Nothobranchius furzeri: one gene and its partner. The main gene of each other region encodes a partner of the protein of the gene in region 2 in a complex. Links are inferred from orthologs where the notes say so. Each region holds a gene or a part of one and is shown on either strand. Other genes may lie near its edges.

Region 1 (3,744 bases), on a different chromosome or scaffold from region 2:
GTCACTATGACTCAACTTTGGCTAGAAATGAGAATAAAGTAACTGTAACGTAGAAATATATTTAAAAGTAGGTGTAATAGATTTTCATGGAATAATTCCATTGAATATTAGTTCAATTTAGTTTTATTTATATAGCGCCATAACACAACAAGAGTCGTCTCAAGGCACTTCACAAAGTAAACATTCCAAAACAGGTCAGGGGTCTCATTTATCAAACATTGAGTAGAGTCCTTACTAAAACCGTACTTAAGCTCAACAAAAAAAATGTACTTACGCCAAGTAGGTTTGTGATCTATCAAACAGGGTGTACACACAGCTGCACGCAATCTCCGCTTCATAAATCGGAGACTAACGAGAAAGTTTCTCAGCTGCTTTTTAGTCACATCCCGCCCTCACCACGCCCACTTACTGCCATAAATGGTCAATGCAAAGTGCCTTGTGGACCTCATGCATATACATAAGCCGGCTGTTGCAGCGCTCCGCAAATGATGATGGCGACCGTAGATCAAGGAAGCGCAATTTTACACAAGCAGAAGTTGAGGTACCTGTGGGTGAGGTGGAGAAATGAAAGGAAGGGCTTTTGCAAAACAAATGAGAGAAAATCCACGGAGTGGCACAGCGTTGCTGAAGCCGTCAATGCTGAGTTCTTCAGAGAGATCTGTGGTGGATATAAAAAAAAATGGTCCAATCGGGATTCGATCCCCAGACTCCCGGGTAAAAGTCACACACACTAACCAGTCACCCAAACAGATATCTCCCTTGTCCAAGTAGCCAGGGCGCATGATCAATCGGGTCACAGTGACAGGACACACACACTGTAACAGACTCATGACATTCTATCTCAATCTGTCCTGCTGATATTCTGCATTCCGTATTCTGGCTTCAGGGTGTGTGTGTGTGTGCGTGTGCGAGTGTGCACGCGCGTGTGTGTGCGTGTGGGGGGGTTTGTTCTGTGTGAAAACGAAGCAGTACAAGTGATAATGCTGCAGGATTTCATAATTTTATCCTTCTCAGCAGCATCACTGCAGGTGCTCTCATGTCTAAAATGTGTGTAAGCCAGGTCCTTAGTCAACTTAAAGTTGCGCACATTTTTCTGCTAAGTTTTCTTTCATAAATCCCAAAGTTAGCGTGGAAAGTTGCTCACGCAGTTTTCCGACCCCGTTTTGTGCGTAAGCAAGCTTGATACATGAGGCCCCTGTTCATTAAGCCATTCAGTAAAAAGTTTCCTATATTAGGAGCCCTGCGGATCACATCAAGTCAATCCTCATACTAAGCAAGCATTTAGCGACAGTGGAGAGGAAAATTCCCTTTTAACAGGAAGAAACCTCCAGAGGATCCTGGCTCAGTATAAGCAGCCATCCATCACGACTCACTGGGGGTCGAGAAGACAGAGCAGACACACACATACACCAACACCAGCCCACACACACACATTAAGTAGTGTTTCTCTGGTTACATTGTGATTTCTTAGTAGATATTCTATTTAGTAAGAGATTAACTTTATTGTCTTTAAGTGAATTTTATAATTAATTCAACAGGTGAACTAGTAGTAGCACATTCCATGTTAAAGAAAATAAAATGTTATCAGGAGAGGGAGAACATTTAAGTGGTTAGCAGCAGTGTGCCAGCCGGCTGCTTTTCAGAGACACGTGTCCTGAGGGTAACGAATTGTTGTTGTGGAAGAGCTGTTTTAATAATTTTCCGCCTAGAAAAATGAATCATTACTCGTTTTGCAAAAGTTTATTTTTCTTTCTTATTTCTAAAGCTTAATAATATCAGCATCTGTTTGTTTTTTTACAATAATTACCTTAAATATTTAATACTAGATATTTACAGGAGAGGAAAAATAACTTCTGACTTCTCACAGAATTCTTACACTCGTGTCAGAACAAAAAAGAGAACTCTTTTTCAGTAGCTCTAATCTTTTTTTTATAGATATTTATTTAAAAAAATAGAAAAGTAAAATGTCCTGTAGCTGCAGCTCTGAATGAGTTTTATTAGATCGACTGAGGGGAAAACGGCTCGTGATTTAGGCTGCAGACTGCTGAGGTTGACAATTCAAGGACAAATGAGTCGAGATGAAACAGTTTGATGTATCTTCTCGTCAGTTTTTTAACCAACTTTCATCCTTTTCCCTCTGCAGCTGTTGACCATCTTTGTCAGCGCAAAACTAGCAGCCTACGTGAAGTTCTACCAGAACAACAAAGACTTCATCGATTCTCTCGGTGAGTTTTCACGAGAAAACAGAAACGCCAAACGGGCGTGTGACAGACGAACTTTTGTCCTGTGTAGCTGTGATCAGTTTCACTCTGTTGACACAGAGCAAGAATGTTTGTGTCAGCATTGTTTTTCTTTTCCTCGCTGCTTGCAGAGCAAGGGTAAATTAAACCATGTTTGGGTGGACTCTGAAAACAGAACAGAGACACGTTTGTGTTAATGAGCAGAATTCCCGACCGTTATTCCAGGGAAACTCCCAGAGTGGACGAGTAATTGACTGTGACTGTTTAATGATCCCTGTGTGACGCTCCTCAGGCCTCTCTCATGAGCAGAACATGGCCAAGATGCGTCTGCTGACGTTCATGGGCATGGCGGTGGAGTTCAAGGAGATCTCCTTCGACACCATACAGCAGGAGCTGCAGATCGGAGCTGAAGATGTTGAGGCCTTCGTCATCGATGGTAAAAGCTCTTCACACTTATCGTGTTACGGCAGATTGGACTCTCTTCTGAAGCTTCCATGGCTGCAGCTTCTCAGTAACATGCAGATAGGCTCCTGTCACTGATGTAAGCACGTTTTGCTCACTGATACCTGGAGATAAAACGGACTAGGCTGCTCTTTGTAGGCATCTAGTGATGGCTCCAGCGGTGTTGGTAGATGTGAGTAGAATGAGGTGCAAGTGAAGATGAGTGGTGTGCTGTTGCTGCAGCGGATGGAGGAGGAAGTTCCGCTCACCGTGGTGGTTTTAAGGCACAAAAACAAAGCTCTCATACAACACTGGATCATTCGACTCACATAGGGAAAAAAATATTCTAGCAAATACAAAAGTTTACAAAAACAACAAATCTGACTAAAAAGCTGTTTAATGTTGCTTTTAAAAGCTTGTCTTTAATGTACAAAAACAAAATAGTCATAATCTAGTAACCAGACTGCTCCAGAGCTCATAGTTGTGTTTACTTGTAGAGATTATAGAGTTTCCACACATATGTACCCATGTGTACACTTTTAGACGGCTTCACCAAGAGCTGTTGATTTGCCTGACAGGATTTTGAGTTTTTCTTTCTGGACGTTTGAGTCTAGTCAGGAAAAAAAGGATCAAGTCAGAAGTGTAAACAGTGCTTGTTGTGCAGCCCCTGTTGGTCAGCTGAGGTCTTACACTTTTTGTTCGTATTTCTGCTTCGCTGTGTTCCTGCAGCTGTTCGGACCAAAATGGTGTACTGCAAAATCGACCAGACGCAGAAAAAGGTGGTCGTGAGGTAAGTGTTTGTGCTTTCAGGTGTTTTACTAGTCATCGTTAGGGAAAGGAAGGTTATGCCGATTGTGGAAATACTTATTTTTCTATTTATGTTCCAACAATCAGTAAGTTAAAAATGGCTACAAAGCAGAAGGAGGGAATAAGAAAACAGGAAAGTGTTGCCATGTTTGTGCTTTCGCCGTTTTAGAAACCGTAGAGGTCAGATACTCGTGGGTTTGATAAGCAGATCTTCAGGCAGCTTCATCGGACCGCAGAGCGGTGGACACCTGCACAG
Region 2 (4,364 bases):
ACAGCACTCGCTGCAGGAGGACCAGAACTTTACAGATGTACAGATTCAACCCAAACACAAACCAGACCAGACCAGACAAGCTTCACCTACATGTCAACAGGGTCAGAAACCTCCATGTATCGCATCTTCATCAGTCTGGGGAAGTCCATCTCCTCCTTCACCTCCCAGTCACTCCTCACCTCCACAGAGGAGTCTCTGGGCTTCAGCTGGGCCTGAGAAGCAGCACAAACACACAAATTCACCAAAGACCATCACAACGGCTTCAAACAGACCCAAATACTTCAGAATCATTCATCTGTGATCATGAATCCTCAGACTGAAGCAGAAAATAGAGGTCAACCTCTACTGGTTTCTCTATTGCCGACGCACACAGCTAAAGTCGACGCCGACACGTAGGAGATAGCCGATGTGACTTTTACGGCCAAATCCAGATGTTTTTCCACTTCTTGGTCATGCTAAAATGTCACTAACAACATCAGTTAATGCACTAAATTTCTGAAGTTGAATCGGTTTTTGAACCAACTTCTAAATTTTAACGTTGTGCACTCCGTTAAAATTAGACACATAAATAAAGTTTATTTAGAGTATTTAACAATGAACATAAAAATACATTTAAATTAAATTCTGCTACAGCACCTGGCTGCCCAAGGATGTGCCCGACTTTAAATCGGTTTTCCTAAGGACAAATATCACTCTGCCCGATGCACCCACAGAGTACGACTTACAAGGTATCCCTTCCTACTAGAGACCACTGCAGATGCACCGACTAAACAATGAACCGCACCTTTAAAAATAAACCAAGAATGTGTTTTTTTATTGGTGAATATGATTTGATTTCTGCTGCTCTAAAAGGGAAACAATAGAAATTAAATAATCGACACCTGAGATTTTTGATCCCACTTCTGACGGACACCAAACTGCTTCTGGAACTTCTTCTGCAGACGCAAACGATCTCTGAAAAGGCGAAAGAGTGAGGTAAAGCTCATTGTTCAGCTTGGATCTTTCCAGTGGAGCTCAGAGTAATGATCTCACCTCTCCTTCTGCTTGGCACTCTTAGGAAGTGTCTGCATGTTGAACTGAGTCAAGTTCCTACGGTCCTTGTCCCTGCGAAGGTTCCTCTGTGGAAACAAAGCCACGTCTGTTGCTGACCTACATGAAGCTCAATAGTCTCATCAGGACTAAACTGTTTTGCAACAATATGCTCTACCTGAGCAAACCGCATGCGGTTCCTCTGGTACGCCGTCTTCTGGGTCTTAGCAGTGTCCACAAGCTGGAAGCTGGTCTCATCTTCCTCATGGAAGTAGGCATACTGACTCCCACCTCCAAACTGAGAGGAATATTTATCTGAAAAGCAAAAAAGACAAAAATAATTCAAATGTTTAACATTAAAACATATACGTAGATAAAGAATTTAAACCATCTCACTCACTCGTGTATCTCTTGTCTTGGTAAGTAGCTCCAGTCCAGTCAGCAACCTGTCAGACCAAACACAGTAAGAATCAAACACAACCTGCTTCTGGTTCTGGTTCTGCTAGAGGAGCTCCGGTGAGGGCAGACCTTTCCCAGTCTGTCTCCTTTGCTGAAAGGCTGGTAGGGCATATCTTTGAACTTCTCCGGGACTGCACACGGACCCCATCCAGACGGGTTGTCCTGGATCACGGGGGCGTGAAACTTTGCCATGACCTGAGATCGAAGCAGAACACAGACCGGACTTCAGCGATGCTGCGTTTTGATTCTGGTTAAAGCACAGCGGAGCGTCAACGGGTCTCAGCAACAGCAGCTCTGATCTCTCCAGCAGTGCTCTCAAACACATGGGCACTGATCAGATTGCGCAGTGGGCTAATCATCACCAACCCAGTCATTAACACAGATCGTTCAACTGGTAAACATTTTACAGAAAATAGAGAAAGCCATAAAAAGGAAAAGCTGACATCACTGGTTTAAAACACTGTCTGCTGATTTCTGAAATGGTCCAAGAACAGCCAACTGTTGGCTTCACTTATAGAGACTCTAAAATACCACCTAGTGACCATGCAAACAAGCATTCGTCTATAAAATAAACCCAGTCAGTCATGTTAATTTATTTTTACTGGTTGAATTATTCTGAGACAGGCGTAACAGACACATTTCTAATATATTTACCATACCACTTTAGTTTTAGAGCGCTTTTAACGCAGCATTATAACCGACCACAGCGCTGCACCAACACAGGCAGAGACAGTCACATAGGTCATAAAAACAATGAAAATGAACAACCAAGGAAAGCCAAACCAAAAATGTGGAACCACAGGACACCAGTCCACGGATTTAGAATAGAAAACCCGAAGTGGAAAGGAGGATGGCAATGTAGTCCTTATGGTTTGAGTTAAACGCCCAATTGTATTTCCAGGTGGTCGGAGACCTAGTTATTCATTTACACTTAATTATTATCAGTATTAAAAAGGGGCAATAAAGCATAAATTGATGTGATAAAGTAAAAAAAGTAAACTGCTTTAAATCTTTATTTCTTAAACGGTGTTCTTCAGGTCTTGGGCTGAATAGTATTGTACAGATTTAACTATTGTTTATGCGTTGCAGCCAAATGCGTTTTACTCCAAACGTGCATGAATCCGTGTTCAGTAGTGAGAAATAAAATCTCTTCCACTTAATTTAATGTCAAAGTTACGGGTGTTCTTTGTAAATATTTTATCTGATGACGGCCTTAGCTAGGGCGGCTCATCCTGTCGGGTGGGCCCGCTAACAAAGCTAAGCTAAGCTAACTAGCCGGCTTTTTGCAAACTGTCATTTTTCTCTGAGAGATGTTTCCCAGCGCCAACAAGCGCTGATACTCCTCTCTCATCTGAGCAAACTTTGGTGGAAACTTACCGAGAATAATGTGACTCTTTATCGAGTCTTTACACCCAGATGGTTTTACACCGATGTAAAACCCGACGGAATGCCGGCGTGAGAGGAAGTGACGCACCGTAAAAAGAGCGGAAAGAGGCTTCTGCCGTATTTCTAGCGCAACTGTCGTAATTTCAAGCGTTAATATCGCAGACATATCCTCATGATGTGTCTATGTCTATGGTTTATACACATATCTATGGTTTATCACATCAATTTCTGCTTTATTGCCCTTTAAAACTACCGAACACAAATTTAGTCATGTTTATCAAAACCGTTTGTACATTTTGTCTCTATAACTTGCAAAGACGTGTTTGGTCGGTTTCACTGATATATATGTTTGCGGTTCACTAGGCTAGAAGTGAGGTCTACTAGGGTGCAACTACGTACTTTCGGAGAGGTATGCAGACACACACACACACACACACACACACACACACACACACACACACACACACACACACACACACACACACACACACACACACACACACAGCCTTTCCAGTTGTGCACCAAAGTGCAGACATGACCAAAAATCAGATGTTTTCTAGCAATTTCTTTCAAGAACAATAAGAACAAAAATACCTTTTTCAGTCCCTGAGTGGGGAAACTGCATTATTGCAACAGTTTAAGGAGGATAGCAGCAGTAGCACATCTATATACAAGAGCATATTTGTAAATTAAGATAGCCAAGGTAATTATTGCACATAATAACAACAGTAATAGCAATATTGCACATGTTGGTGATGATATTTGTAGTGGAATGTTACAGATGTATGGGTTCCATGTTAGCAATGACCATTATAGAGTCTAACAGTGGCCGGAAGGAAAGACCTGCAGCATCTCTCCTTCACACTGCGAGGATGGATCAGTCTGTCACTGAAGCTGCTACCATGGCCCCATTCATTTTGTTCTTAACACGGATCAGTCGTCCTGTCCCCTTAGCAGAAAAACAGCCCCAAAGCATGATGTTCCCACCCCCATGCTTCACAGTAGGTATGGTGTTCTTGGGATGCAACTCAGTATTCTTCTTCCTCCAAACACGACGAGTTGAGTTTATACCAAAAAGTTCTACTTTGGTTTCATCTGACCACATGACATTCTCCCAATCCTCTGCTGTATCATCCATGTGCTCTCTGGCAAACTTCAGACGGGCCTGAACATGCACTGGCTTCAGCAGCGGAACACGGCTGGCACTGCAGGATTCGATTCCCTGCCGTTGTAGTGTGTTACTGATGGTGACCTTTGTTACTGTGGTCCCAGCTCTCTGCAGGTCATTCACCAGGTCCCCCCGTGCAGGGACGAAATTTTGATTTCAGAAGTGGGGGGGACACAGCAGGCTTGTGCGGATTTGGGGTGGGGGGTGTTATGTAAAGACCCCTTGACACGTCATGTGCCCATCTCAATAATTTTTCCATCCTCATATATATATATATATATATATATATATATATATATATATATATATCCCTTACCTCACA

The links.
Region 1: eif3d (region 2) and eif3m share a complex: the UniProt entries of both Homo sapiens proteins name them as parts of the eukaryotic translation initiation factor 3 (eIF-3) complex. The link is inferred for Nothobranchius furzeri from reciprocal best matches to the Homo sapiens genes EIF3D and EIF3M.

The regions. Positions count from the first base shown.
Region 1 is NC_091749.1:32,403,361-32,407,104, forward strand, and holds part of eif3m (eukaryotic translation initiation factor 3 subunit M), read left to right. Parts: intron 1-2,143; coding exon 2,144-2,225; intron 2,226-2,532; coding exon 2,533-2,676; intron 2,677-3,410; coding exon 3,411-3,471; intron 3,472-3,744. UniProt on the Homo sapiens protein: Component of the eukaryotic translation initiation factor 3 (eIF-3) complex, which is required for several steps in the initiation of protein synthesis.
Region 2 is NC_091745.1:29,239,034-29,243,397, reverse strand, and holds the start of eif3d (eukaryotic translation initiation factor 3 subunit D), read right to left. Parts: upstream 3,009-4,364; 5' UTR 2,866-3,008; intron 1,684-2,865; 5' UTR 1,681-1,683; coding exon 1,558-1,680; intron 1,476-1,557; coding exon 1,430-1,475; intron 1,345-1,429; coding exon 1,208-1,344; intron 1,119-1,207; coding exon 1,033-1,118; intron 955-1,032; coding exon 882-954; intron 213-881; coding exon 91-212; intron 11-90; coding exon 1-10. UniProt on the Homo sapiens protein: mRNA cap-binding component of the eukaryotic translation initiation factor 3 (eIF-3) complex, a complex required for several steps in the initiation of protein synthesis of a specialized repertoire of mRNAs.